4 linked regions of the Caenorhabditis elegans genome follow. The main gene of each other region encodes a partner of the protein of the gene in region 3 in a complex. Each region holds a gene or a part of one and is shown on either strand. Other genes may lie near its edges. The genes, in order: mdt-21, mdt-31, rgr-1 and cic-1.

Evidence for each region.
Region 1: rgr-1 (region 3) and mdt-21 share a complex: the UniProt entries of both Caenorhabditis elegans proteins name them as parts of the mediator complex.
Region 2: rgr-1 (region 3) and mdt-31 share a complex: the UniProt entries of both Caenorhabditis elegans proteins name them as parts of the mediator complex.
Region 4: rgr-1 (region 3) and cic-1 share a complex: the UniProt entries of both Caenorhabditis elegans proteins name them as parts of the mediator complex.

Annotation. Positions count from the first base shown.
Region 1 is NC_003281.10:11,776,003-11,780,628, reverse strand, and holds mdt-21 (Mediator of RNA polymerase II transcription subunit 21), read right to left. Parts: upstream 3,009-4,626; 5' UTR 2,986-3,008; coding exon 2,797-2,985; intron 1,764-2,796; coding exon 1,560-1,763; 3' UTR 501-1,559; downstream 1-500. Other genes in the region: C24H11.5 (Gem-associated protein 7), read right to left, coding at 22-121, 311-394; immp-1 (Peptidase S26 domain-containing protein), read right to left, coding at 4,044-4,274. UniProt on the Caenorhabditis elegans protein: Component of the Mediator complex, a coactivator involved in the regulated transcription of nearly all RNA polymerase II-dependent genes.
Region 2 is NC_003279.8:8,962,850-8,969,204, reverse strand, and holds mdt-31 (Mediator of RNA polymerase II transcription subunit 31), read right to left. Parts: upstream 3,092-6,355; 5' UTR 3,076-3,091; coding exon 3,048-3,075; intron 2,909-3,047; coding exon 2,807-2,908; intron 2,700-2,806; coding exon 2,535-2,699; intron 2,485-2,534; coding exon 2,243-2,484; 3' UTR 2,204-2,242; downstream 1-2,203. Other genes in the region: spd-2 (Spindle-defective protein 2), read left to right, coding at 1-260, 412-1,120, 1,252-1,397, 1,439-1,732, 1,780-2,110; snpc-4 (snRNA-activating protein complex subunit 4 homolog), read right to left, coding at 3,282-3,404, 3,459-3,596, 3,645-3,854, 3,903-4,223, 4,281-4,505, 4,550-4,619, 4,675-4,829, 4,899-5,111 and 4 more. UniProt on the Caenorhabditis elegans protein: Component of the Mediator complex, a coactivator involved in the regulated transcription of nearly all RNA polymerase II-dependent genes.
Region 3 is NC_003281.10:9,390,890-9,398,759, reverse strand, and holds the start of rgr-1 (Mediator of RNA polymerase II transcription subunit 14), read right to left. Parts: upstream 4,657-7,870; coding exon 4,513-4,656; intron 4,462-4,512; coding exon 3,381-4,461; intron 3,284-3,380; coding exon 2,683-3,283; intron 2,236-2,682; coding exon 2,061-2,235; intron 1,830-2,060; coding exon 1,812-1,829; intron 901-1,811; coding exon 742-900; intron 533-741; coding exon 1-532. Other genes in the region: gpr-2 (G-protein regulator 2), read left to right, coding at 5,619-5,866, 5,920-6,420, 6,471-7,078, 7,131-7,351. UniProt on the Caenorhabditis elegans protein: Component of the Mediator complex, a coactivator involved in the regulated transcription of nearly all RNA polymerase II-dependent genes.
Region 4 is NC_003281.10:2,392,160-2,402,753, forward strand, and holds cic-1 (Cyclin-C), read right to left. Parts: upstream 9,063-10,594; 5' UTR 9,050-9,062; coding exon 9,018-9,049; intron 8,971-9,017; coding exon 8,864-8,970; intron 8,808-8,863; coding exon 8,696-8,807; intron 8,644-8,695; coding exon 8,522-8,643; intron 6,427-8,521; coding exon 6,232-6,426; intron 3,810-6,231; coding exon 3,628-3,809; intron 3,498-3,627; exon of another isoform or gene 3,448-3,497; intron 2,403-3,447; coding exon 2,244-2,402; 3' UTR 2,166-2,243; downstream 1-2,165. Other genes in the region: Sterol 4-C-methyltransferase strm-1, read left to right, coding at 9,940-10,002. UniProt on the Caenorhabditis elegans protein: Component of the Mediator complex, a coactivator involved in regulated gene transcription of nearly all RNA polymerase II-dependent genes.

The sequences.
Region 1 (4,626 bases), 2.4 Mb from region 3:
CCTAGGCCACGGCCACCGTACCGACGATCACGTGCTCCGAAGACGGTTGAAATGCTTTAATTGTGGCGGTGACCGTAGTTCGTTCGCACATTTCGATGGTGGCTGGCTTGTCGGCGGATTTCTGGAATTTTTCGAGAATTTTCGGGGAAAAATGGCACAAAAATTGGGATTTTTGGAAAATTTTCAGTTTTTAGACTTGAAAAATGAGAAAATCGGTGGCTTTTTTCAAAATTTTCGCTGAATTTTTCAGATTTTCACCAAAAATATCGATTTTTTGAGAGGTTTTGTAGATGAAATGTCCAATTTTCACCTGCAAAAAGCTCAAATATCGCTCCCGGAGCACAGCTTGTCGCCTCTGTTGCTCTCCTTCTGCTTCTTGTGTGCTCTGGGCCATCTGGAAGTGGTTTTGCTAGGGTTTTAGGCTAGATTTAAGAGAATTTCAGATAAAAAACCATGGTTTTTGCCAATAGAATAGGAAAATGAGGAGTATTAAATTTAAAAAAAAAATCAAATTTTAAATTTAAAAATACCCAAATTCTGGGGGAAAAGTGTAAAAAATGGGCAAAAATACAGAAAACAGTTAAAAATTAAATAAAAAGAAAAAGAGATCACAGTTTTTCGAAATTTAAGAAATTTTGGAATTTTCAAGGGAAAAATTTGAAAAAAAATCGATTTTCTCTGGGAATTTCTAATTATTTAAAGTGGTGGAAATCGATTTTCAATGGGGAAAAATTGGCAACTTTCTAGAAAAATGGGGGAAAATTGAATTAAAAATGATTATTTTTGAGGAAAAAAATTTAAAAAAAAAAAGATAAATTACCCACAATTTTTCAAATTTAGCAAATTTTCAGTAGAAAAAAGGGTAGAAAATCAATTTTGAATGGGAAAAAATGAATGAAAATAAATTAAAATTGACATATTTTAAAGGGTTGAAAAATCGATTTTAAATGGGAAAAATCCCAATTTTAATAGAAAGTCATGAAAGTTTATATGAAATTGAAATTTTCACGGAAAATTAGGCAAAATTTTTTCTGGATTTTAAGGAATTTTCAAGAGGAAATGGACTAGAAAATTGATTTAGAATTCTCAATTTTCCGGGAAAATCGGCCCAAAATAATTTTTTGCTATGAAAATCAATTTTCTCTGGGAATTTCTAATTATTTAAAGTGGTGGAAATCGATTTTAAATGAGAAAAATCGAAAATTTCAAGAAAAATAGGGGAAAATTAATTAGAATTTAACTATTTTCAGGGGCAAAAAGGGATGAAAAATCGATTTTAAATGGAAAAAAAGTTGATTTAAAATCGAAAAATTAAGGAAAAATCACAAAAAAAAATGGAAATCGGCTGAAAACATGGAAAAAAAACATGAAAATCGATATGAAATTGAAATTTTCACAGCAAATTAGGCAATTTTTTCTGGATTTTAAAGAATTGTCAAGAGGAAATGGACTAGAAAATTGATTTTTTTTTCTCAATTTACCAGAAAATCGGCCCAAAATAATGGAAAAATGATGAAAATTACAATAAAAAATCGGCAAAAATCGGCAAAATATAATAATTATTCACTGGGTCTCGAGCTCATTTGTGTCTTTGAAATCTCGGCAAGCTTCTTCTGAACAACTCCGACGAGCCGATTGCTGTCGCCGACGAGTCCGACGAGCTCATTCACTTTTTCTCGCTGCTTTTCGTCGTTTTTTATCATTTTCTCCTCGACTTCCGCTTCCTGGTTGCCCGCTTCGATTGGGAATGAGTCGATGAGGATCTGAAAATTATTTAATTGGTTTTTTCCCGAAATTTTAAGCTGGAAATTGAATTTTTTCGATTTTTAGCCATTTTTCACCCAGAAAATCGAATTTTCAAAAGAATTTCGACCTAAAATTCGATTTTTTTGAGATTTTTTTCAAGAAAATTATTAATTTTGTTCTATTTTTCACCCGGAAAATCGAATTTTCACAATTTTTTTCAAATTTTAACCCGAAAATTGAATTTTTCGACAGAAAATTGGATTTTTTTTGCTGTTTTTTGGGTAGAAATCACGATTTTTTCGGCAAAAATGAGAATTTGCTTAAAATTTTCAATAAAAATTGGATTTTTCTGTACTTTTTTGGCTGAAAATTAATTTTACTGAAACTTTTGTGGAAAGTGGATTTTTTTTAATTTTGAGTTTTTTTAAATTTTAAATTAATTTTTTTTTTCGGCTAAAAATGTGGATTTTTGAATTTTTTTAAAGAAAAATTTCGATTTTTCTTCATTTTTCACCCGGAAAATCGAATTTTCACAATTTTTTTCAAATTTTCACCCGAAAATTGAATTTTTCTGAAATTTTTTGGCTGAATATTGTAAAATTAATTTTTTCAGCCAAATTTTCAGAAAATCCTAAGCAAAAAGCTTCAGAAAAGCAGTTTTTCTCGTTTTTCAAACTATTTTATATTCCAGGAAACAATAATTTTCAAAAATTACAAAAATCCTCATTTTCAGCCGAAAAAAATTTAATTTAAAACTAAAAAAAACTCAAAATTAAAAAAAAATCCACTTTTCACAAAAATTTCAAAAAAAAATCTAATTTTCAGTTAAAAAAAATAGAAAAATACAAATTTTAAATTTTTGTCGGGTAAAAATGAGGATTTTTTTGTAATTTTTTGAATAAAAATTAGGGTTTCCTGGAATTTTCTGGAATTTTTTGAGTTAAAACAGGCTAAAAATAGTTTGAAAAACGAGAAAAACAGCTTTTCTGAAGCTTTTTGCTTAGGATTTTCTGAAAATTTGGCCGAAAAATGCTCAATTCTATAGAAAACCTCAATATTTTTAGCGGCTTTTGCAATTCCAGCGGCAAAAATCGCGCAATTTGGCTCATCCTCAAGCTCCTGTGAAATTGCTCCAAATTCACATGGCGGAGCAGTCGCCTGGAGCACTCCAATCGCATTTGTCATTAATCCGGCCATTTCGTTAATCATATCCTGTAGTTGGGTCATTCGATCAGCCATTTTCAAGAGTTTTTGGGCTGAAAATGAGCTTGAAATGTAGTTTTTAATAAAAAATTGGAATTTTCGTATAAAAATTGGTCGAAATCCTCTGAAAATTCGAGAAAATCAGATAAAAATGCATTAAAATGGAGTGAAAATTCATTTTTTTTTTCAAATTTTTTCCATTAAAAATTGATTTTTTTGAGTTGAAAACCTAAAAATCCTTATTTTCTGCGATTTTTAAGGTATTTTTCTGATAAAAAACCGGATTTTATGCGTTTTTTGGAACTTTTTAGGAATTTACTAGTAGAAATTTGAATTTTTTGAAGATAATTGGCTAAAAAACTTTGAATATTTGAGAAAATCGGATAAAAATTATTTTTTTTCTTCAAATTTTTACCAAGAAAAATTGATTTTTTTGAGTTGAAAAACTAAAAAAAATCCTTATTTTCTGCGATTTTTAAGGTATTTTTCTAATAAAAAACCGGATTTTGTGCGTTTTTTGGTACTTTTTAGGAGGTTTTCTAGTAGACGTTTGAATTGTTTAGACGAAACTTGGCTAAAACTCTGAAAATTCGAGAAAATCGGATAAAAATGAATTAAAATGGAGTGAAAATCGATTTTTTTTTTCAACTTTTTACCATGGAAATCTAAATTTTTTGCGTTGAAAATCCATACTTTCTGATACTTTTTTGGTAGTTTTCTGATGAAAAGTTGGTCGAAAGGCTCTGAAAATCGGATAAAAATGAATAAAAAATGAGTAAAATTAATTTTTTTTTTAATTTTCAATTAAAAATTGAATTTTTTTTGCGCTGAAAACCAAAAATTCTAGTTTTCTAGCGACTTTTTAGAGAGTTTTCTGATGAAAAATTGGATTTTTGGCTTCAAATTGATAGTTTTCATGGAATTTTTGCTGTAAAAGTGTTTTTTTCAGGTAAAAATAGGGTTAAAACCCATTAAAAAAATAGAAAATGGAAGTAGAAAAACATGGAAAAATAGTATTTTATGGCAAAAAAAAAAGTGAGACAAAAACCAGGAAAAAAGGGTGGAAAAGCACATAATTACACTGAAAAAGAAGCCTATTTCTCTGCATTTCTATCACTTTTATCCCAAAACCAATGATCAGAAATCCATCCGGCTCTCTCTGGAGGCCATATTCTCAGGCTGAGCCTTATCTGAACAAGGGCTTCAGGTACCGGGCCGAAATGTCTGGAATCTGTTGAAACTGGGCCGTTGTCACCGCGAAGGAATACGTGACCAATTGGAACTCTGCCAGATGGAAGCAAATGGGAGGTTACTGGATCGCCTTCCTGAAAAAATTGAAAATTTTATGGGTTTTTTTTAATGAAAAATAGCATTTAAATTGGCTAAAAACATCTGAAAATTTGAAAAAATCGGAAAAAATTGAATTTTTCAAGGAAAAATTATTTTTTTTTCGACTTTTTTTGGTGGTTTTGGATGAAAAATCGGATTTTTAAACGAAAATTGGCTAAAAACATGACACTGGGTCGCCTTCCTGCAAAAATTGAAATTTTAGGGTTTTTTTCTCGGGAAAATCGGAGCAAATTGGATTTTTTGCGTTAAAAACCTGAAAATCCTCGTTTTTTGCGACTTTTTAGGTGGTTTTCTAGGAAAAATCGAATTTTTGAAATGAAAATTGGC
Region 2 (6,355 bases), on a different chromosome or scaffold from region 3:
CAAGGGCCTAATTTCGATTTATCAAGCATCTACGTTGGTAGTCCACAACACCAGAATACATCAATCTCTACGGGACAACAGATGCCGACTTCGTCTTATTCGCATGCACATTCTGAAACAATGATGACAAATCAAACTATTAATGAGTCAATGGTTCGAAGAGTGCTCAATGGAAACAATAAGAATCAAGATCTGTTCGCAGCATTAGAAGAAGCTCGTAAAAGAAGAGCTGCTCAACCGTCGAAGCCAGATTTCAGAATGTAAGCATTCCGAAAAACAATTTGTAACGTTATACAAAAGTATAGTTTTTTTCCTGAAATTCGTAAAATCGCGGTTTAAGTAATATTATGTTTATTTAAGTTGAAAAAGTTAGTGCGTTTTTAAATTCAGTTTTATAATTTTTTCTTTCAGAAACACTACGCGAACTCGTGTTCCTATAAAGCCAACATCTGCACGACATTCTGGAAATGTCGTATCCTCGACGTCCAACGACAACACAACTGCAGCATCATCCAAAGATTTGACGACGAGCCGAAAAGCGATGGAGACTTTTAGGCAGAATGCATCAATGGCAGATGCCACTAATTCTAATACAGCAAGCATGACGAGTATCTTGAGCACAATCTCCACTGCAAGGACGGATATTAGTCGTTCATCTCGTAATCATGGTGGTGGTTTTTCGAACACATCCGTCTCTACCGTCATTCCGGCCAATAATGGCAATGTTTCACTGTCCCATGGACGCGATGGACGGGATTCGGTCAGTTCGGTGCGCACAATGTCCCGTGCTTCTTCGACCTCGACGGTATATGCAGGATCCACATTTTCTGGAGTATCAAAGCCATTGCGAATTCATGCTAAACGCGTGGCATTCGGTTGTGTTGCAGTCGGCGAGACATTGAGAGTTGAAGTCGAAGTGGAAAACATTTCCGATCGTCAGTGTCTTGTTCGAGCCAGTACGGATAGTACCACACCAGTTTATCAAATCCTTGACAACAAGCTAACTATGGTTGATCCAAAAAAGAGTATCAAGTTTCAAGTATCCTTTTCTCCTAGTTCTGTCGGACGTTATCAAGTTATTATGAGTATCGAAGTACCGGCACAAAATTTTATACATAAGGTATGTTTTTCAAAAATTTGATGGAATTGGATGTCATCGTGTCAAGCACATGTGTGTGTTTGCCTATGTTTGACTATGAAACATATTCGATACATTTTTCAAAAGCCATAATAAAGTTATGTTTTCTTCAGATTCCGATGTGGGGTAATGGTGGAATTGCGAAGTTCGTGCCCACTTCGCCAGATTTGCAACAAACTATAAATCAGTCAGAGTATGCAATGTGCACCTCATGCGCAAAACGAATCTCTTTTAAGATCAGCAACTCTGCAGGAACAAGGTAGGCTAAATAGACGACGCTTACATAACAATTTCTTTCAGAGACGGCTTTGCGATGATTAAAGTGTTCGACTCAGCGATGCGACAGCTTCCAGACGGATGTGTAGCTTTCTTTCCTGCACCCGGTTTCATTGTAAAGAAAAAATCGGATAAGCGTGTTGACATTCGCATCGACTCATCTTATATTGATCTTCACGATGAAAACAATTTTCGTACATCGTCTTCGCTTTCGACAGCCTCAACAACATCCTCATTCCAGCGACGTATTCTTCCTGGAGCCAAATTCTTTGTGCATGTCGTTTGGGGTGAAGAAACCATGCGAACCAGACTTCGATTGTTAATTTGAATACAGATGAAATGGTATTACATTTGAAATTATTTAGGCTAGAAGTTCGCACAGGACAGCATCAACTAATCGATGGTCATGACTTCACATCTTTCCAATTTTCCGATGAAGAAGTTCTTCGTGCTGTTCCAGTTGGATTCCCCGCTATCAAGCCCGAGGACCGTGATCTGTTCGCTGCTTCTTATCGTAGTTTCTTCATCAATTTTTTCACTTCTACAACTGAATTCCGTGCTGCTACAAGCCGGAAGAAGAAAGAGATATGCAGCAACGACGACTCTACTCTACTCGAGACAACAGCTTTCCGTAATCAGACATTTGTCAACGACGTTACAATTGTTCCCAATACAAGATTTTCGAATAGAAAGTAAAATCTTAACCTAACTTTCCAAATATTCTCTGATTTCTGTCCAGGCTTCGAAAAAATTCACGGTTCTGTAAAATGTAGGTTTCAATTTCAATAAAGTGGTGATGAAGTTTTATTTGATTTACATTTTTTATGTTTATTTTTCTTTCTTTGAAACGGTAGAAGTTGTGGAATTCTTTTCGGCTGTGTCAGCATCCGGTTTCTTCATCGTTTCCTCATCATCTTCATCCTCTGTGTCCTTTTGTCGAATATCAGCTTCATCTTCAGATTCTTCAAGCTCTTGTCCCTCATCAGGCATCATACACAAACGATGCCGTTTCCGAAGATAAAACTGCCATTGGAGAACCACTTGATCTTCTACGAATTTCGCGCTTGGTCCTGAAAATAAGTTACTATTCTTCTGATAGATTAAATAAAATTTGAACTACCGTAAGCCATCGAATCGCGAAATTGCTGACTCTGCAGTGCTTCAAGCATGTGCAGACATTGAGGAAATTTCAAGCATCTGGCATATTGAGGATCTTTCCAATAGAGAAGATATTTGAGATAGTTGACAAAATATTCTTCTTTGAAATAACCACGTTGCGCGAGAACTGGAAAATATGAAATTTGCAGGAAAAAGAGTGCATAAAAAAACAAGAAACTTAGAATAAAAATACGTTTTTCTCTATTCTCGGCTAGTGTATGTGAATAAACTCACAATTAAGATAATTTGGATTTGCAAGAGCCTGCACGAATTCACATTCAACTTCAAATCTCGTCTTTTCACTTTCTACACTCTCCATCTGCATTGTATTGTAGCCTGAAGAAAAAAAAATGGAATTCAAGCTTCGAAAAATTACAGAAATTTACAAAATTTTGATATTATGACCTTTTTTCACCTATACGGTGAAATCCGTACTACGAAATGAGTTAAATATATTATTCCAATGGAAACATACCGTATCGATTGAAACTAAAACGACCCATGCCTATAAAACCATTTTATTAGAAAAAGAAAAACAAATTTAACAGATGGTGTTCATAAAGAGCTGAGATTGTTAATAAAACAAAAGTGAAATAATCTTAGGAGATCAACTTTTAATGGGTTCAGTTTAAAAAAGTGATGTAAAACTGCACAGGAGAGGATGACATAGAGTTGGGTAAAATAGTTATATTGTTCAATAATAGAATATTCAATCTAACTCCACTTTGAGCGAAATATTACTCTCCGTATCGATCGAGACGTGACTTGGAGTGGGTGTACCTGCAGATGAACGCGGTGGACGAGCAGGACGCGCTGCAACTGTCGCAACGGTCTGAAAAATATACTGTTTCATTGAGGACTATGAGAAAAATATAGATAATAGTACCGCAAGGATTACTAGGGGTAAAAGTTTAATTTTAGTGTCACATCTCACCTCTCCAATCTTCCTTTTCATTCTGATTTTCTTCGCAGAATTCTTGTCCAGATTAGCCAACAACTCGGTGGTATCGATTTTCATGCCGTTCTGAAAAAAAACAACGTCTAGCAGTGGAGACAACGCAAAAAACTTTACATTTAGTTCTCTAGAGATTGAAGTTGGAGTAACATAGATCTCGTCATCAGGCATCCGGCGTCGTCTTATTTGGTCACAGGTAACTTGTTGTTCTTCATCGCAGGCGCGTTCCTCTGCAAGACAGCGCACAAGCCGCTTGGTTTCATCAGACGACGATTCACGAGCAATTCCAAGACGCATTGGTTCGAGAAGAATCGAACGCATTCGAGCCTGAAAAATTATCAAAAATAAAAATAAGAATATAATATATTCACTTACATAAAAATTCGCATACTCTTTACTATTGGTGACCTCATCAGACAACCCGATATGCATACGTCTGTCTCCGTCGAGGCCCTCTCTCTCGTCGTTTTTGAAGTTGAATTGTTGAGCCAGAGAGACATCAAGAGGGTAAAAGTGTTCAGCAGAAAGACGATTCAATCCAGAACGGGCTTTTTGAAGCATTTTGTGAAGATCGAATGATGCAGCAGTCGGAGGAAGAGTTGACTTGGCTGGGCAATGTACATCATTTTGATTGCATGACTTTGAGTTAACATGTAAATACCATTCAGCGACTTCTTTTGACTTGTTTATGACCATCTGTGAGAATTTTAATGTGAATTTTCATTAAACTTTATTTTCTCTATTCTGACTCACATTCTCCACAAATCTTTTAGCGTATTTCGGCGCTGTGAAGCGATGTTCATTCCAAAACTTAGTGCCCCATTCTTTTACGTCGTGAGCACGAATTACAGAGCACAACGACTCCACAATGACCATTTGCTTTTCATCTTCAGCATCATTTGGATCAAATGTTGGCATTGTTTCTGGATCCAAATCGATCTTAATCGGACGAACACGACATCCGATTTGATCCACGTTCTGAACATTTTTCAATGGGTTAATATTCTGTACAATTAATTTACCTTTCTAAACTGTCGAGCCTCGTAGTAACGCGTCAAAGTCTTGCTTCTTTCTATCATGTAACGAACATCACTGAAAAACAAAATGTAATTAAAATATGGTGTTTTTTTTTTGGTTTTCAACTAACACTTCCGTGATTGTGAGCGATGAGAGAATTTCACTGGAGTGTAGTTCTTTGTCGATTTCGGCTGCATTTTTGTGCTTTTGAACAATTTCGTTGATTTTATCTTGGATTTTTTGATAATCCGGCTTATTCTTCAGAGCTCGAATTCTAGCGGCGGCCTGCAATAATAATAATAATAATAGTAATAATAAAAATATGAGTTTTAAAAAATTTATTTTTGATCTTACTGGTCTCTCCAAGGCAGATACACGTTTGTAAAATTCTTCGGGAGTCTCATTCATATCCGGATTTTCGTTGGCGAATTTCTCATAAACTTCTTTCATGAGTTCATTTGGAATCTGCTCCGCTTCCACAATATCTTCTTGCTCCAGCTCGTCCTCTTCAGGAGCACGTCTTCCGGATTTCATGGCATCGACCGCGTTGCAGAATCCGGCAGCCAACTGAAATTTTTATTAATCATTGCTTTTATTTAAGTGAATTTTTAAAAAGATTTTTCACAATAAAACCAAAAAACTCACTCTCAACTTGGCTGCAATTAACTGCAAATATCGTCTTCTCAACTGTCTCGATGTCTTTTTTGGCAAGAGCATCTGACATTTAGCCCAATTTCCTTTTCCAAATACTTTTACCGCATACAAAAGTTGTTCGTCTTCAACCAGCGTGAACCGTTCGTTGACATGAGCTGAACGATTCAACACATTCGTCCAGCGTTCGCGGCATTGAGAATCGTTACGATTTTGCACCGCCTGAGCAACTTTTGCCCAATCTTTTGCTCCATATCGTGAAACTGCACAGACAAGAAGCTAAACGATATGTTTGTTAATTGCTTAAAATTTAAATCTAAATATGAATGTTTTAAATTTCCAACACACAATAATCGTGGAATGATGTTTTTACTGCTAATTTACATTAATTATACATACCACATCTTCTTGATCAGTCCATCTTCCATGCTTAACCGATGCATCGAGAGTATGCGAGAATCTAGTTCTGACTTGTTGACGAGTTCTTCCAGGCATACATTGTGCAACTTTATCCCATTGAATATGTCCGTTGATCGATGTAATTTTTGTGAGCGCAATTAACTTGGTGTCTTCGTCTTGAGACCATTCTCTGAAATATTCAAAATTACACACATTTTGAAAACGAGCTTCTCACTTTGAATGTTGAGACACTTCGGTTTTGTACTTTTCCATACATTGATAAGATGTTCGATTTGTACCGAGATTCAGAGCCAGCATCGGCCAGGAGACAAACTTTGGACTTTCTCGAAGGTATTTCAGCTTTTCTACTTCTTCATTTGACCAATGTTCTTTGTTCCACTTTGGATTCAATTCATTGTACCATTTCGATTTCACCGCCCATTCCGTTCTAGAGCCTTTGAACTGAAATAATAGTTTTATTTAATTAAACTTCACAAACAGGAAGTTTTTGAATTAATGAAAGTTTAAACATACGTCGAAGTTGGCTATTGCAGTCCATGGAACAACGGTATAATCAGCCGAAGCAGTCAATACTTCTTCTTCACTTTTTTCTCGAACATAGGCAATTTTTCTCATCAAATCTTCCAGCTCCATAGTCCATTGACGTCGATCGAAATTCGATGTAGTGATATCAGCGTCTCGAAGTTTTGAGGCAACGATATCTCGTCTAGAACACCACGGTTGAACCTGATGAGCCACCA
Region 3 (7,870 bases):
GGAAAAGGCCTGCACATCTTGGACGGTATCTTGAAACGTCCCGCACCGCAATTTTACAGCCTTCGAGCAATTTAATTTCAAGAATTACATTTCCTTGCATTAACCGCAAAGTCGTCTGATCGAGAGCATATAAATGATATTTCAATCGGAATGGGAAATGTACATCTGGTCCAATAAGCTGTGAAAGTGATTTCTGAGATTGAAAACGAATTCGACTGAAATTTCCGATAGCGACGAGTGGACGAATTGTTTCGCATAAAAAGTGCATAGTGAATACAAGATCATTCGTTTCTTTCAGATCATCTCTCATCAATTGTGACATCATTGAATGTGGATTCCAACGTGGCTTCTGATGCCAATCGATTTCTGTCGAATTGAATTGACGATGCGGCATTGATTGACCAAAATTTAAGAAGAAGAAATCTTCAGAGGATCCAGGAGCTTGGGACTTTACATTAAATGCAAGGATCATCAGCATATCTCTATTGTCACCATAAGAAACCACCAATTTATGGAATGTATACGCTTCAATCTGAAAGAAACCACTTTTTTTCGAATTTAAATATATGTTTGTAGTAAAAAAATGATTTAGAAAAGCCTAAAACAATTTTGAAAAATTCTAGAAACTTCTACATAGAAAAAAACAGTTTTGATTTTGAGAAAAATCTCCACTTAATTAGAATTTTTTTTTAAACAAAATATTGCAACTTTAAAAAAAAATTCTTCTCAAAAAAAACATACATTACAATAATTTTTGAAATGTTTTTCATATGCCAACGAGAATTGATGGACAACTTTGTACATGTACAGATATCGCATCAATCTATGGATGATTAATTCAACTAGCTTTTCTGGCGAAGATTGATTGATATGATTGAGCTCCTGCAGCCACGTGGCATCCTGAAAGAAGTTGTGATGGAGAAGGACAAGCGACAATTTATTTGGAAATTCTATTCCAAAAAAAAAGCAAGGCAGTAAAATGCTGTGATTTTTGTGATTGGTATATGATATTGAGGCAGGTGAGTTTAGTGAATGAGTGTGTGAATAAGTTATATTTGTTTGCGAAAATTAATAAAATAAAAAAAAAAGTTTAATGGTGCTATTTAACTTCAACATTTTCACCTAGAATTCATTCATTTAAGACAAAAACCAATAAATTTATTCCCGAGCAATTTCACATGCAGAAAAAAATATGTATGCATAAGTGGTTCATGCAAATGTTTTCGGAAGTAATAATCAAGAGTTTCGATTTTTCGATTTTTTTTAAATCTATAATTTTGGTTTTTCGAGATTTCGTTGTTAGGATAATTCGCTCATTTTTCTGATTTTTTTTGTAGAAAATTACATGTTTTCATATGTTTTTTCTCATCAAAATAAACTAAATAAATTTTTTTAAAAACATGTTAGTTTCCTGAAAGATTAAAAAAAAATTATCCGTAAAAATAGTCAAGAAACCAAAATTTTGCGGGAAAAAAACTTGAAAATTAGTATAAAAAATAGATTAACTCGAAAGTACGTAAATTATCCAAATCGAGTATTAAGATATGTATAATTTTAATAAATTAAAAAGCGTAAATTCTATTTTCTGGGAAATTTTCTTGGAAAAACCACTTGAATTGAATTTTTTCTTTAAAATGTTTTCCTGTTTCCGAATGAAAATTTCGGAAAACTTGATTCAAAATTTTGCAAGAATCGGGAATTATTGCAAAAAAAATCAAGAAATCGATATTCTCAGTGAGGAAACATAAATGGTTAGACAAGAAGCATGCAAAAGCAACATATCATGCACAATCCGAAGCAATAAAACTAACCTTACTGGTGCGATCTTTCTGAAATCAAAAACTAATATTTAAATGTGTCATCACAGGAAATTCTATTTTCTAAAAGCTAGGATAGATACCAAAACCGAAAAAGTAGAATAAATATATTTTTAAAAAAAACTGCATTCTCATCTGTTCTAATATTCTAAGAACGACAACAATACGACACCGATCATAATTCGGGCGGCACGGCAATCTTTTCTGAGAATTTAAGTTAAAATTAAATAAGAAATGACGTACCGGTTCACCATCCCGACGATGTGGGAGACCATGCGGTACGTCTCGAACCAATGGAATATTTTCAAAGCACATTTCGAATTGGAATGTGTAGCGATTTCGATTATCGAGACGAAGGCAGCATCTGATACAACATTCAAAGAATTCGCTTGCCTCGAATGGAACAACATTTTTCACACTGAAAATTACAAGATTTTTAAAAATTGTTTCGGACGAAATAAAATTTGTCTGAAAAAGTCAATTTTTTCAATTTTCTCAATTTGTTTTCAAATCATGAATACTGGCAGTATTACATTTTAAGACTGGCGGAAAATGTTTAAAGATGAAGTATTTAGCGAGATTGGGGATTTTGTTTCAAAAATTCAAAATAATGTCAAATTCAGAAAAATAAAACCACAAAAGAAAAAAGAAAAACAAATTGTGAAAGAATAAAAAATCAAACTCTCAAAACTTGGATGAAATTCAAACCGAGAATTCAGTCAATATTGAAAAATTTCTGAAGCGATTTTTTCGTTTGTCTTTTGTGATATTTCTGAACTTGAGACTATTTCGAACCTTAGAATTTTTTCTTGACGCTGCTGCTCAATTTTTAATATAAGTGCTCGAAATCTAGAAAAAAACTTACTCCGTGATATGTAGAGCAAGCCCTCCTGGAACGTGTGCTGAATCTTTTCTCACATCAACTCCAATTCCCTTTTTCATTAATTCAGCCGCCAGATACATGTACGTGATCCGATCTTCTACAGTAGCCACTGCAAATGCAAGTCTCTGCTCTCTCGAACACTCTTCTTGAAGTGATGTTTTATGAGATGGCGAGAAACGCATCGTTCCTTGATTAATCGCTTCTTTTACATGCATTCCATTCATCTCATCATCCTCCAACTGAATGAACTGAGCTCGGTCTCCAACAACTTCCAAAAGTTGAATGTGAGTCTTAACAACTGCTTTTTCATCGGGAGAGAATGTGACAAGCAGATAATAGTCTTCAGATCGAAGGAACTGAAGAATAATTCGTTGGGCAGGAGCATCACCAAGACATTCCTTTGCAAATGGAAGAAGCTCAGCTTCTTGAACTTCACGAACTGGAAGAGCTTTCACTGATCGTCGATATCGTTCTATCACGAGGGCGACACGAAGTTTTCTAAGATACATTTGAATTGTGTGCGCTGAACATTGACTACTGTAGAGAGCTTTTCCAAAAGCCAGGACATCTTCGTGTTCAGCACCTGAAATATGAATAAGTTTATTTCTTTTATAATTTTGGTAAAAAATAGAGTATTTTTTTAAAATTAATATGCTGGAATTTGAAACGACACAACTCACTGAGAATGTGAACGTTGCAGAGCACTTTTCCACAGAATGAATTCACAGATACCGTCATCATTTCATCCTTTGAAGAGGTATCCGGTAGGAGAGCAAGAGAAAGTGACGGTGCAGAGATTCCAGTCATCTTCACTTCTAATCTTGGTTCAGCAGCTTCAAGGATTCTTCTCAACCGCATCAATCGTTCCTTACATCTGACCACATATGTTTCTGATAATAGTCGATCAATTGACAACATTCCAGCTCCAGAATCAAGTCGTCCGAGCTGAGGAGCATGAGGGAAATGACGAACTTTAAGTCCACCTAGCTTGTCATTTGGATCTTCATAGATCTGAACTCTGTATTGTGCATCACATTTGACTTGTCCTACAGTTAATCTTCGACTCTTCGATCTTTTAACCCAGTATCCAACTACCAAAACTCGTTCTTTTGGGTCATACTTTTCGATTGTAATGTTATCACGTAACCTTCCAGCTGCCAATCTTGAAGTTTGACAAAACAAAACATCCAATTGTAGTGAAACACAGAAACTGTGCAAAAAGGAGAAAGCTTCTTTAATAGGATTTAAGGAAACATTCATCCGAGATTGCAGTACTCCATGAAGCTGATTAAGCTGTAATGGATGTACAAGAGGAAGTCCCATTCCAAGTTCGTAGTCTTCCACGAGAATTTTGATATTCAATAGAGTCCACTTTGTCATTTCTGTTTCACCGAGCAATGTAATCTTGATTTCAAACTCTCCAGGAACCAGTAAAGTTGCAAGTCCATTGTTGATGTGAATTTCTTTTATATTTGGTGGGATTCCGCTTGAAAGTCGAGAAAGCCGACTTTCAATGAGCTGATTTAATCGGGAAGTGACGAGTTTCTGTTCTCTCGGTGTGATCTTTGCTGGAGGAATGAAAGCTTCTTTGATTTTCGATGGCATTCGATTATACGTTCCTAATACAAGAACATCAATAGCTGGCGCAATATGGTATTCTGGAAGACGAGCTAATTCGAGATCTCCCCTAGTCATTGCGACTAATCGATCGGCCGTGTCGATGAAATATTGTGATTGGAGATCGAGAAGGTAGTCGATAGACTGGAAAATTAATGTTTTTTTTTCGATCGAAATCGAGCGAATTAAGCTTACATAACAAACATCCATTCGCTTCGAAATCCGTATCCATTTTACTAATGCTACAAGTTTCAAAAATTGACTGCGAGTAGCGTGTGCAAAATGTACAAGAGACATTTTCCGCTCCTGCTCTCCTTGATCATTTGTCTTCCGCTGCATCAATTCCGCAAGAACTGTGATCTCGTGGTAAACATGTTGAATTGCAAAGTCTAATAGAACATTTAGAGGTATCGTCGGAGGGCCACAATTTGCAGGAACTTCTGGTAAGGGATTTTGCGCTGGTTCTGGAAATTATAGAAAATAAATATCTTCCTTGTTCTACTGCAGCATACCATCTTCGCTATCCGATGAATGAATCGATTTTACATCGACTTCGGAGAGATGTGCCGTTTGTTCCTGAGAAGAATGTACATCGCGGTCTGAAATTCCAGACGACTCATCGAGTGACAAGGCCGAGCCAGATGGAGCCGGTGATATTGGAGCAGCCGGCGAATTATCCGCCAGTGCGGCTCGGAGTTGGGAAGACAGTTTCTGCGAAATACATATTTATTTGAAGAATACACAATATACGGTCTGGGAAGCGACACATTTACAAATTTAAAGTTTATTTACATGTTTCGAATAGTTTTAATCAAACTATAACATTCAAATTGTACAAATATGCATAAAATTAAACAATAAACAGTATTTAATTTATTTTTGAAAATTTGTTTGCAAACTCCACTGAGTGTGCAAATGCGCGTGATGGTGTACTTGCGTACATCGGCAACACATTTGACGACATATCAGAAAGCGGCGCTAAATTAGAAGTTGAGAGCGCGCGAAAAAACAACGCGTTAACCGCCAAGTTTCACTTCCCCACAGAGATTCTCGAGTCATTGTTCAAGTTTATTTGTTTTTCAGCGGTTGTTTTATTGAAAAATTGTAAAATTTTAAACAAAATGTGTAATAGTCTATTAAACCTCGTGAGATATTTGAAGAAACTTTCCCCGTTTTAAATATTTCGTGTATTCGTGCAGATCCGCGTGAAATTTTTGTCTGTTTGCGTAAAATTCCTCTATTTTTTTATTTTTGCTCGCAATTTTCGATTTATTTCAGAAGTTTCCACATTCGCAAAACGAATGGACGTCTCTTATTATGATGGCCCTAAGGATGAAGTCATCGAAGCAATGCTGAAAAGCGCGGTGACGGCCATGAAATTGGGACAATACGAGGATGGAAAAGGACGCTTAGAGGACACAATGGAGTTCGGAACCTCCAATTTTCAACTGCTTGGTACAATCTACATGTATTACGGAAGAGTGTGCAGGCATTTGAACCACGACGCCAAGGCCTTGGAGTTTTTCGAACATGAGTTGAACATGTTCAAGTAAGTGAATTAAACGGAAATGGGCTGGGCATTCTATAACTTTAATTTTTCAGATTGATCTTCAACTACCCAGAAGCATGTGATTCCACACGTCGCATCGTCCAGCAGGCACTCAAAATGGAAAAGTTCTCCAAGGCTCGACGGTTTGCTGAGGATCTCATTGATTACACCAGCAATAAGAAGAACGGAGAGAAGTATATCGGTCAAGCTCGAATTTTGTTCGCTTCCGTGTGCCTCGAAGGATGTGAAAGAGACGTCGAGAGTAATCAAGATGAGAAGAAGAAGCTTTTGTCAATATGTGCTGAACAGATTGCAGCCGTGAAATTGTTCAACGAGAATAATACGGAAGGAGCTGTGTCTGAGACCAAAATTATGCTAATTGAGGCGAAATGCTTGTCACTCGACGAAAAATACGAGGAATCGCGTCGCAAGTATCAAGAATGCATCGATTTTGCCATCAAAACAGACCAGTTTGAAGCAGTTCACATCGCCTATTACGACAAGGCTCTCTATGCTGAGACATATCTTCTTTTCTTTATTATCAGAGATCTCAGGTAATTTTTAGTTTTAACGATTAATAAAAATGTCAATTCTATTTTTACAGAAGTGCTCTCTTCTACGCCACGAAATTCGGAAAAGAGCGAGATGTAGTCAAATATAAGTCGAAGCTATCCGAAGAGATGCTGAGAAATGGCGAATTCCACGAAGCATATCTCTACGGATTGGAAGCGCTTGTATCGATTCGGAAGCTTGGATTGAACGAACACATTGGAGATGTGTTGCTTACAATCGCAAAGTGTCTCATTGCACTTGGAAAAAGACGCCAAGCTGCTTATTTTATCATCTTGGGGAGTGTTCTGACCATCAACCAAAGCAGTTTCAAACTGTTCTACGAGCAGATCGACGTGGCGATGAATCAAGAGAGAAGCGAAACGGCAACTGATCAAGATGCATGCCTCGCAATTGATTCGTCTCCTGATCCGACATCCTCGAATGACATGATTAATAAGTTCGTCGTCAAACTGGAGCACGCAACAAATGTTGAAACCTGGGAAATGATTGTCAACGGAATCATTGAAGACCAGAAGAAACCAGTAGCGATCGAAAAGAAAGAGAACGAGGAACCCGTAGACATGATGGATCTCATTTTCAGTATGAGCTCGCGTATGGATGATCAGAGAACTGAACTGTCTGCTGCCAGATTCATTCCGCGTAAGAAATATTACAAATAAGCGTAAATGTATGCAAATTTATATTTTTCCAGCTCGTCCAGTGTCATCGGCATCGAAAAAGACTACAAAGAGCCACAGAATTCTCCCTGGACTCCGTGCCAATTGGACAAAAGTGCAGTCGATGAAGTTCGATGGTCACACAATGAATAGGATCCTGAAGAGGTCGAAGAAAAGCAAATCGTCATTGGATTCTACAAATTCGATACAGGGCGATGATACTCGAAGCGATGATGTGACAATGACGTCCAAATAGGACCATTATTTTTTCTGTCAAATAATACAATCAAACTTTATTTATTTTTTACTTTCTTTAAGTAAATGTTATTATTATTTTAGTGGTTGTTCTTTATTATAATTTTATTTTATTTGATGGTCAGTAAAGCTAATTTTTTTCAATTAGCGATATCCGTCAAGTCATACTTTTATAGAACTTTGTTATTCTCTCTGAACTTCCCCACGTGCCCTCCCAACGTCATTTCAAAAGCTCATGGTTAGTGACCTCGGAATCCGGAAGATATCGAAAGTAAAGAGACGCAGAGAGATGGAGACTGCCAGCGTCCGAGGGAACGAGCGCCATTCTCCTGCATCCTTTCGTATTCTTCAGTTTTTAGGCGAAACCTAGACCCGAAATGATTTATGTTTTTTCTCCTATTAAAAATACTTTTGAGCGGCTAAATATGATATTACTTGAAATACGTGAACAATTTTTTTGAACGCTCAAATCTCCGACATTGGAGGGCGTAAAGTTTGCAATTCTTAAAACTGTCGTATC
Region 4 (10,594 bases), 7.0 Mb from region 3:
GTCGTGAGATCAGGTGTCTGCGTACTTTTGGGGCTACCGTACCCCTGGAAATGCCGTTTTTGTGCTAGAAATTTAGAAAAAACCGTGTATCTGGCGCAAAAAATAAAAAGGAATTCAAATTTATAAATAAAATTCTAAAATTTTAGCTTTAAAACTGAAACTTGGAGATTTTTCGAAATCCGAATTTTCTCAATTTTCCGCAAGTTTTTGAAGAAAATATCACCAACTTCTTGTCATTTTTTGCACTAAACCTCGTTTTTTCAAAGCTTAGCTAGCAAGTTTGGCAAAATTGTGCATTTTGTCGTGAAATCAGGTGTCTGCGTACTTTTGGGGCTACCGTAACCCTCGAAATTCAAAATTTGAGCTAGAAGCTTGGAAAAAAATGTTTTAGATGTAAAATTAAAATGAGAATTCAAATTTGGCATGGAAATCTGAAAAATGTGAGTTTAAAGACTTGAAATTCCACTTTTTCGATAAAAAATATTTTTAATTATTTTTTGATTGTTTTTTGTTCCTTAAAACACTTTTTTTTTTAATACGATGCATATATAGTTTTCAAAAAATTTAAATAAAAATTTGAATATGAAGTGAAAAAAAAAATACAAAAAATACTCATTTTTGACAGAAAAAACACTTTTTTTTTGAAAATTGGCCAAATTTTTTATTTTTTCAGCGGATTTTCTTATTATTTTCCTCGAACATTTTTGGTTATTATAGCGTAAATGAAGCTCATTTGGAAACTGAAAAAATTGCCAAAAAACTTTGAAACAAATCTCGAAAAAAAAATTTTCAAAAAAAAAAATTTTCAAAAAAAAATTGTTTTTTTAATTAAAAAAAAATTAAAAAAATTTTTTTTTTTCAAATCCCAAATCCAAAAATGTGCCAAAAAACCTAATTTCTTTTTGCCAGGAAGCCGTTTACAACATTTTTCATGGTCTAGTGAGCTTTAACTCATTTTCAAGAGAAATCCGATACTTTTACGTCGTACATTTGTTCGAATTTCCCCTTTGTTTTTTAGAAGCTTTTTTTCTTTTAAAAAATTTAGAAAATCTACTGTGTTTTGATGTTTTAGATGTACAAAAGCTTACATTCGAAAAAAAAATATTGCAAAAAAATTATTAACAAATTATTCCAATTTTTTCAAAATTGCTCAATTTTCTGCTTTTCACACATAAAAAATTGAATTCAGCTTATTGAGCCCTTCAAAATGAGTCCCATATTGACTAGCCTCCGCGTACTTGCTCAAAATTCGGGTTTAACAGGTCTCATCACGAATGCTCGTGTTTTCGAAACCTAAAACTAATTTTTTCGGAAAACTAATACGAAATTCGAGTTTCCCATCAATTTTCACACCTGGGAAGCATTTTTTAGAAACTTAGCATAAAATTTGAGGTACGGTAGCTCCAAAAGTACGCAAACACCGCAGAGCTCACGACAAAATGCACAACTTTGCGAATTTCAGCGCCAGACGGCTGAAAATTTGGGTACAAGCGTAAAAAGTGGTGGTGAACTCGAATTTCGTGACAAAAATCTGAAAAAAATTGAAAGTGTTCAAAAACCTCAAAAATCTGAAAATTGGCACCTTAAAACTGAAAATTTCAAAAAATCATTATCAAAATCGGATTCTCCATGTAATTTTACCCCTGGGAAGCATTTTTCTAAGTTTCTAACTCAAATTTTGAATTTCGAAGGGTACGGTAGCCCCAAAAGTCCGCAAACACTGCGGAGTTTACGACGAAATGCACAACTTTGCGAGTTTTAGTGGCAAACGCCTGAAAATTTGGGTTCTGGGATGAAAAGTGGCGGAAAACTCGAATTTCGCAATGGAAATCTGTAAAAATCGGTGCAAATGTTGGAAAACCTCAAGAATCTGAGAATCGACGCCTTAAAACTGAAAATTTCAAAAAATCAATATCAAAATCGGATTCTCCATGTAATTTGACTCCTGGCAAGCATTTTTCTAGGTTTCTAGCTTAAAATTTGGATTTCGAGGGGTACGGTAGCTCCAAAAGTACGCAAACACCGCAGAGCTTACGACAAAATGCACAACTTTGCGAGTTTTAGTGCCAAACGCCTGGAAATTTGAGTTTAGGCGTAAAAAGTGACGGGGAGCTCGAATTTCGCAATGGAAATCTGTGAAAATCGGTGCAAATGTTAGAAAAATTCAAGGAATAGTTTTATTGGGAAATATTTACAAAAAATACAGTAAAAAATCGATAAATACAAAAAATTTCCAGAAAATTCTACAAATGATATCCCTGCTGGTGCTGATGCTGCTGTTGCGGGGGCGGTTGCTGATTCGGTTTCGGCAATTTCGCCATCAACTTCTTCACTTCTTCTTTCTCATCAAATGACTTCCAAAGTGTGTACATTTTGTAGATTTGCTCAACGCAGTCGGTTACCTGGAAAAAAAATCATAAAAATCCAAAGTTTCCGGGAAAAATGAAAATTTGGGCATAGCTTCCGCATCTCCGAGTGACAAATGTGCTCTATTGTCAAATTGTTGGCAGAAATACGGTATTTATTCACATTTTCAGCCAATTTATGACTGAAAATGTGAATAAATACAATTTTTACTGCAAACAATACGAGTAGAGGCACAAAAGTCACAGGGGAAAATGCTCAGAAATTTGGTGGCCTAGAAATCCAATTTCGGGCCACCAATTGATTTTAAATTCAAAAACTGAATAGAATTCGGTTTTAGATGCAGAGTTCGATTAAAAAGCGATTCTCCGCCGAAAAAAACCGTCGAAAATTTCAAAATTTGAACGAAAACTCAGAGTTTTCGGATTGGTGGCCTAGGAAATCAAAAGAGTTCGGCCACCAAATTCCAAAAACCACCGAGAATCCGATTTTTCGACTAAAAATTCGGTTTGTTGGCCAAAAAGTGGGCAATATTCCAGTTTTTGAAAATTAATTTGACACGTGGCCTAGAAAACCAAAAAGTTCGGCTACCAATTAGTTTTTGGGTTCAAATTTTGCAGAGAACTCGATTTTTTTAATCAAAAATTCAGTAAAAAACACAAAAAAAAACGTTAAAGTTCAAAAAATGACCTTATTCCCAATCGGTGGCCTAGAAATTACAAAAGTTCGGCCATCAGCCAAAAAACTCGGCCACATGGGTAAAAAGGTCCGAAAAATTCGATTTTTCAGTTTTTTTTCACTGAAAATCACAGAAGCATCGATTTTCGGGGATTTTCCAGCTCAAATTGCACAAAAATTCAGGTTTTTGCAATTTTTGAGTTCAATTTTCAAGAAAATGCCAAAAATGTCAAAGTTTCCGTTCTTGACTTTCTAAAATCACAAAAATTCCCTTAATTCCGATTGGTGGCCTAGAAATTGCAAAAAGTTAGGCCACCATCATTTTTCGGCTGAAAATTGGCAAAATGGGTTAAAAAACTCGGGGTTTTCCACATTTAAAGAAAAATGTTCGAAAATTCCTATTGGTGGCCTAGAAAGTAAAAAAGTTAGGCCACCAACTTTTTTTCGGCTAAAAATGCTTAAAAAATTGTCTATTTTCGCGGAATTTGCTGGATTTTCTTGCAAATTCTCTAAAAATTGGCAAATTTCTCGAGTATTGGGTAGAATTTCACGGGAAATCTCAATTTTCCGGTAGAAATCCGAGACCTTTTCAAAATCAGTGTCAACTTCGACAAGCCAAGCTTCCAATTCTTCTCCACGGCCCATTAATTCCATTGCAACCATAATACTTGATAATCCAATGACATGTGGTGGAAAAATCAATGAAACATCACATCTTAGCGAATCATTTGCCACTTTTTGACATTGAGCTTCAATTGCTTCCAGATCTGCAAAAAAATGGAGGTTTTTTGGTGAAAAATTGGATTTTTTAGTGAAAAATTGAAAAAATTAGAAATTTTGAATTTTTTAATGAAAAAATGGAAAATTTTGGATTATTTAGTGAAAAATTGGAAAAATCGAATTTTTTTGAATTTTTTGGTGAAAAATTGGATTTTTTAGTGAAAAATTGGAAAAATCGAATTTTTTTTGAATTTTTTGGTGAAAAATTGGATTTTTTAGTGAAAAATTGAAAAAATTAGAAATTTTGAATTTTTTAATGAAAAAATGGAAAATTTTGGAATTTTTAGTGAAAAATTGGAAAAATCGAATTTTTTAGTGAAAGATTGGAAAATTTTGGATTATTTAGTGAAAAATTGGAAAAATCGAATTTTTTTGAATTTTTTGGTGAAAAATTGGATTTTTTAGTGAAAAATTGAAAAAATTAGAAATTTTGAATTTTTTAATGAAAAAATGGAAAATTTTGGATTTTTTAGTGAAAAATTGGAAAAATCGAATTTTTTTTGAATTTTTTGGTGAAAAATTGGATTTTTTAGTGAAAAATTGAAAAAATTAGAAATTTTGAATTTTTTAATGAAAAAATGGAAAATTTTGGAATTTTTAGTGAAAAATTGGAAAAATCGAATTTTTTAGTGAAAGATTGGAAAATTTTGAATTTTTAGTGAAAAATTGGAAAAATCGAATTTTTTTTGAATTTTTTAGTGAAAAATTGGATTTTTTAAGTGAAAAATCTAATTTTTAAGTTAAAAATTGGAAAATTTTGAATGATTTTGGGAAAAATTGAAAAAATTGGAAAAATTTGAATTTTTTGAGAAAAAAAAAAGGAAATTTCTGAAATTTTTTAGGGAACAGTGGAATTTTTTTGATTTTTTTTTTTTGAATTTTTTGGTGAAAAATTGAAAAAAATTGGAAATTTTTGAATTTTTCAGTAAAAAAGTGGAAAATTTGGAAAAATTTAAATATTTAGTGAAAAATTGGAAAAATTCGATTTTTTAGTGAAAAATTGGAATTTTTTTTTGAAAATTTGAATTTTTTAGTGAAAAATTGAAAAAATTAGAAATTTTGAATTTTTTTAATGAAAAAATGGAAAATTTTGGAATTTTTAGTGAAAAATTGGACAAATGGATTTTTTTTTGAATTTCTTAGTGAAAAATTGGATTTTTTAAGTGAAAAATCTAATTTTTTAGTTAAAAATTGGAAAATTTTGAATTTTTAGAGAAAAAAAAGGAAATATCTGAAATTTTTTAGGGAACAGTGGAATTTTTTTGATTTTTTTTTTGAATTTTTTGGTGAAAAATTGAAAAAAAAATTGGAATTTTTTCGTGAAAAATTAGGATTTTTTTTGTGAAAATTCAGTTTTGTTTTAAAAACATTTTAAATTTTTAAGAAAAAAATTCCGAAAAATTCTTCGAAAAAATTGAGGTTTCCTAATTTTTGGCATATTTTTTGTAGGGGAAAATCAAATTTTCTTCAAAAATTGAATTGCAAATTTTCCACTTTTTTACTGAAAAATTCAAAATTTTCCAATTTTTCACGAAAAAATCCCAATTTTTTTCAATTTTTCATCAAAAAATTCAAAAAAAAAATCAAAAAAATTCCACTGTTCCCTAAAAAATTTCAGATATTTCCTTTTTTTTCTCAAAAAATTCAAAAATTTCCAATTTTTAACTAAAAAATTAGATTTTTCACTTAAAAAATCCAATTTTTCACTAAGAAATTCAAAAAAAATTCGATGTTTCCAATTTTTCACTAAAAATTCCAAAATTTTCCATTTTTTCATTAAAAAAATTCAAAATTTCTAATTTTTTCAATTTTTCACTAAAAAATTCCAATTTTTTCCAATTTTCCCCTAATTATTCAAATTTTTCCAAATTTTTCACCCAAAAATTCCAATTTTTTTTCAATTTTTCACCAAAAAATTCAAAAAAAAAATCAAAAAAATTCCACTGTTCCCTAAAAAATTTCAGATATTTCCTTTTTTTTTCTCTAAAAATTCAAAATTTTCCAATTTTTAACTAAAAAAATTAGATTTTTCACTTAAAAATCGAATTTTTCGCTAAAAAATTTAATTTTTCCAATTTTTCACTAAAAATTCCAAAATTTTCCATTTTTTCATTAAAAATTCAAAATTTTCCAAATTTTCCACTTTTTTACTGAAAAATTCAAAATTTTCCAATTTTTCACTAAAAATTCCACAATTTTCCATTTTTTTCACCAAAAAATTCAAAAAAAAAATCAAAAAAATTCCACTGTTCCCTAAAAAATTTCAGATATTTCCTTTTTTTTTCTCAAAAAATTCAAATTTTTCCAATTTTTATCGATTTTTTTCCCAATTTTTCCTGGAAAAATCGCAATTTCTCCAATTTTTCACAGTTTTTATCAAAAATTTCCCGGGGGGGGGGGGGGGGGCACCTTTAATAGGTTGATTAGCAATAGTTGATTGTTGAGTAAATTGTTTCAAATCTTCTAATAATTCAAACATTGGACGTGATGCATGATGTACAACAAGGCAACAATCAAGAATTTCAACGAGAATAAACTCGGAATCGTAGACAACTCCATTTTTTGTCGATGTCGTCTCAAATGTCACTCCCCATCGTTTTGGCACTGAAAAATGAAGGGATTTAGGGGCGCGAAATTTGAATTTTTGAGGGGAAAATTTGATTTTTAGGCGATTTTTTGGACTAAAACGGGTTTTTTATCGAATTTTTGACGTTTTTAGTAGAAAAATTGAATTTTTGAGTGGGAGATTTGATTTTTTGGCGATTTTTTGAAGTAAAACGCGTTTTTTCGGACAATTTATGGGTTTTTTAGTAGAAAAATTGAATTTTTTAGCGGAAAATTGGTTTTCAGGCGGATTTTTTGGAGTACAACGGGGTTTTTTCCCGAATTTTTTGAAATTTTTTGCATTTTTAGTAGAAAAATTGAATTTTTTAGCGGAAAATTGGTTTTCAGGCGGATTTTTTGGAGTACAACGGGGTTTTTTCCCGAATTTTTTGAAATTTTTTGCATTTTTAGTAGAAAAAATTGAATTTTTGAGAGAAAAATTGATTTTTAGACGAATTTTTGGACTACAACGGGTTTTTTATCGAATTTTTGACGTTTTTAGTAGAAAAATTAATTTTTTAGTGGGAAATTTGATTTTTTGGCGATTTTTTGAAGTAAAACGCGTTTTTAATAGAATTTTTCGAAATTTTTAGAATTTCTAGCAGAAAAATCGAATTTTTGAGGGGAAAATTGGTTTTCAGGCGGGTTTTTTTCGAATTTTTTGAAATTTTTTGCATTTTTAGTAGAAAAAATTGAGTTTTAGACGAATTTTTGGACTAAAACGGGTTTTTTATCGAATTTTTGACGTTTTTAGTAGAAAAATTGAATTTTTGAGTGGGAGATTTGATTTTTTGGCGATTTTTTGAAGTAAAACGCGTTTTTAATAGAATTTTTCGAAATTTTGGGTATTTTTTAGCATAAACATTGAATTTTTGAGTGGAAAATTGACAAAATTCTGTTGTTTCTGCTGAAAAACTGGTTTTTTAAAAGAAAAATTGAATTTTTGATTAGAAAATTTGATTTTTAGGCCATTTTTTGGCCTAAGAAGAGGTTTTTATTCTAATTTTCTGTGATTTTTAGCGTTTTTAGCAGAAAAATTACATTTTAGACGGATTTTAGGACTAAAAAGGGGTATTTTATGAATATTTTCTGAACATTTCGGCGTTTTCCGCAGAAAAATTGAATTTTTTAGTGGAAAATTTGATTTTCAGGTGGATTTTTGGACTAAAACGCATTTTTGGTCGAATTTTTTACAATTTCTGGCGTTTTTAACAGAAAAATTGAATTTTTGAGGGTAAAATTGATTTAAGGCGATTTTTTGAAGTAAACCGGGTTTTTAATTAAATTTTCTTAAGTTTTTGGTTTTTTTAGCAAAAAAAAGATGAATTTTTGAGTGGAAAATTGATAAATTTTGGTTTTTTCTGTCGAAAATAGATTTTCAGGCAATTTTTTTGAAGTGAAAACGAGTTTTTTATCGAATTTTTGAAATTTTCGGCGTTTTTAGCGAAAAATCGAATTTTTCAGGTTAAAAATTGACAAAATCCGATTTTTCCACACAAAAAACGATTTTTAGACGAATATTAGGACTAAAACGGGTCTTTATGGGTATTTCCTGAACTTTTAACCGTTTTTAACAGAAAAATCGAATTTTTAAGTGGAAAATTTGATTTTTAGGCGATTTTTTGGACTAAAACGGGTTTTTTTCTGGTAAGTTGGGCGTTTTTAGTTTTTTTAATTAAATTTTTCTGAAAATTGGCCGTAATTTTTTTATTTTTGGCGTTTTTAGGAAAGCATCGAATTTTTGAGTGAAAAAGAGGCAAATTTTTCGAGTTTTTCGAGTTTTTCAGCTTAAAAATCGATTTTCAGGCGATTTTTTGGATTAATAAGCGGAAAATGAGCTGCAAGAGTGGAATTTCAAATTTTTTTGAGACAAAACTTGACTCAAAAACTGTTTTTTTTTTTTGGTTATTGAGGTGATTTTTAGAGTTTCTAGCTGAAAAATTTGGATTTCAGCGGTTTTTAAGTGAAAAATTGATGTTTTTTCCGGGTGTTTTTTCGGTTCAAAAGCCTATTTTTCACTAAATTTTCCAATTTTCAGCCGGATTTCCGCGTTTTTCTGCCAATTTTTTGCAATTTTTCCGTCGTAAAAACGCACAAACGATAGCTGTATTTTTCAGAAAGCTTGAGACGCTCAACGTAGTGTGTTCTTCAACTTTACACGCTAAAAATAATGCTGTAGAGGCTACGAGGAATGGGCACATGTCACGGAACGATTGCCTGAAAAATTCGACGTTTTTCCAGGTTTTTTATCATTTTTTTCCGAATAAACCTTAGATAAAATCGCTTAAAATAGATAATCGCAGTTGCAATAACCTGTTGACGGAGTTTACATCCAACATTTGCCTGTGAGTGGGCTCCTTCTGTGGCGACGGCGGTTATAACTGAAAAAAAACCAAAAATTATCGATTTTTTCGAGGAAAAAGTAAGGAAAAATTACAATTCGCCCAGAAAATATTCAATCGATTGTACTCTTCCTCGTTATAAATCTTCATATCCTCGGCGCGTTGCTTCCAAATCTCGGTTTTATCGAAAATCCATTGTTGGCTGGAAAAAATGGGATTTTTTTGGGTTTTTCAATGGGATTTACTTACCAATGACTGCTTTTCCAGAAATTTAAAGCCATTTTTCAACTAAAATCATTAAAAAAATGAAAAAATCGAGAAAAACAGTGGAAATTGAGTGAAATCGATGAAAATTCGAATAAATAAGAATAAATTCGGAGTGTGGATTTACGGTAAAGAACACGCGCCTGCGGGATTCCGGAGTGTCGTTGTATGTCTTTACGCGGTAGTTTAAATCGATTTTTTAAAGCTGGTGGATTATGGCTAGTTTAGAGGGGGTTTTGAAGTTTTTTTTTGTGAAAAATTCAACAAAACGTAGTCAAAATCCTTCTTCTGTGTTAAAATTCAAAAAATTCCATTAAAACCGAGACAAATCGAAATTTTTCTGCAAAGCCACAATAATTAATAATAATTTGGCTCATTTTTCAGAGTTTCTCATGAGTTTATGATTTTTGTGTCAAAATGCTTCCAATTTGCTTTAGGTTTATGTCAACTACATTTCACCCGTCTCCAATCCCTCTGACCACTTGAACTTTCACTTTTTCCCGAAACTAGGCGGAGTCTGGCGGGGGTGCTAGTGAAAACTATCCAATATGACACAGTCACCCATTTCTTGGATGAAAATCCGGCAATTTTGTTTGCAAAACTGAGCAGAAATCATCATTTGATAAGAAATTCGCACCTTTTTGACCTTTTTGACGCTGTAGTCACTGAGCAAATAGAAAAGTGGTACAAATTGGCTGGAAAAAGTCGTATAAAGGAGCTTTTTGGGGAGTTTTAAAGTGTGAAATTGGCTTTGTTAGGTGCTAATTAGTATATTGGAGATTTTAGGAAAAATTTAAAATTTTCGAAAAAAATTTTTTTTTTCGAAATTTTTTTTTCAGAAAATTTTTGTTCGAAATGTTTTTTTTTCAAATTTTCAGATTTCCAGCCAATTTCTTCGTCTATAAACATGTCCATCAATATGAATGCCAACTTTTTGAAGCTTCTCACCCATTTTCGGCGTCACGATTTGGTAAGTTGAATTTTTTCCCAAAAATTTGAAATTCCGACCTATTTTTGTTTAAGTCTTAATTAATGCAATAAAAATGCGAAGATTTTTCTTTGTTTTGTTTAAAAAAACATTTTTATAGCTTAAAAATGAGCAAAGTTATAGGATTTTTTCTAAAAATTTTTTATTCCAAAAAAAATTTTATTTTTTGAAATTTTCAACATTTTTTTAGTACGATTGTAACTTTTTATTTGAATAAAATATTTATCTACAATCTGCTTTAAAAATTATAAAAAAAATCTTAAAAATGAGAAAAGTTATGGTACTTTAAAAAAAAAAAAACTCAAAAAAATTTTTTCAAAAAAAAAATTTTTTTTTTTCAATTTTTTTTTAAAATTCCCCCCCAAAAGTACATTTATTTCTTATTAATGTTATTATGTACTATCACATCTTATCAGTACGAAACCCTTCGTGTTCTTCTGTTTTATTGAAACCAACGGAATATAAGGTGACGAAATGAATTTGACCTACTTTTTTCTGTTATTTGCGCCGCCGCCGAAAATTGGTGAAGAACAAATAATTATTGTGACCTTGTTAATGACAATGTCAATAATAG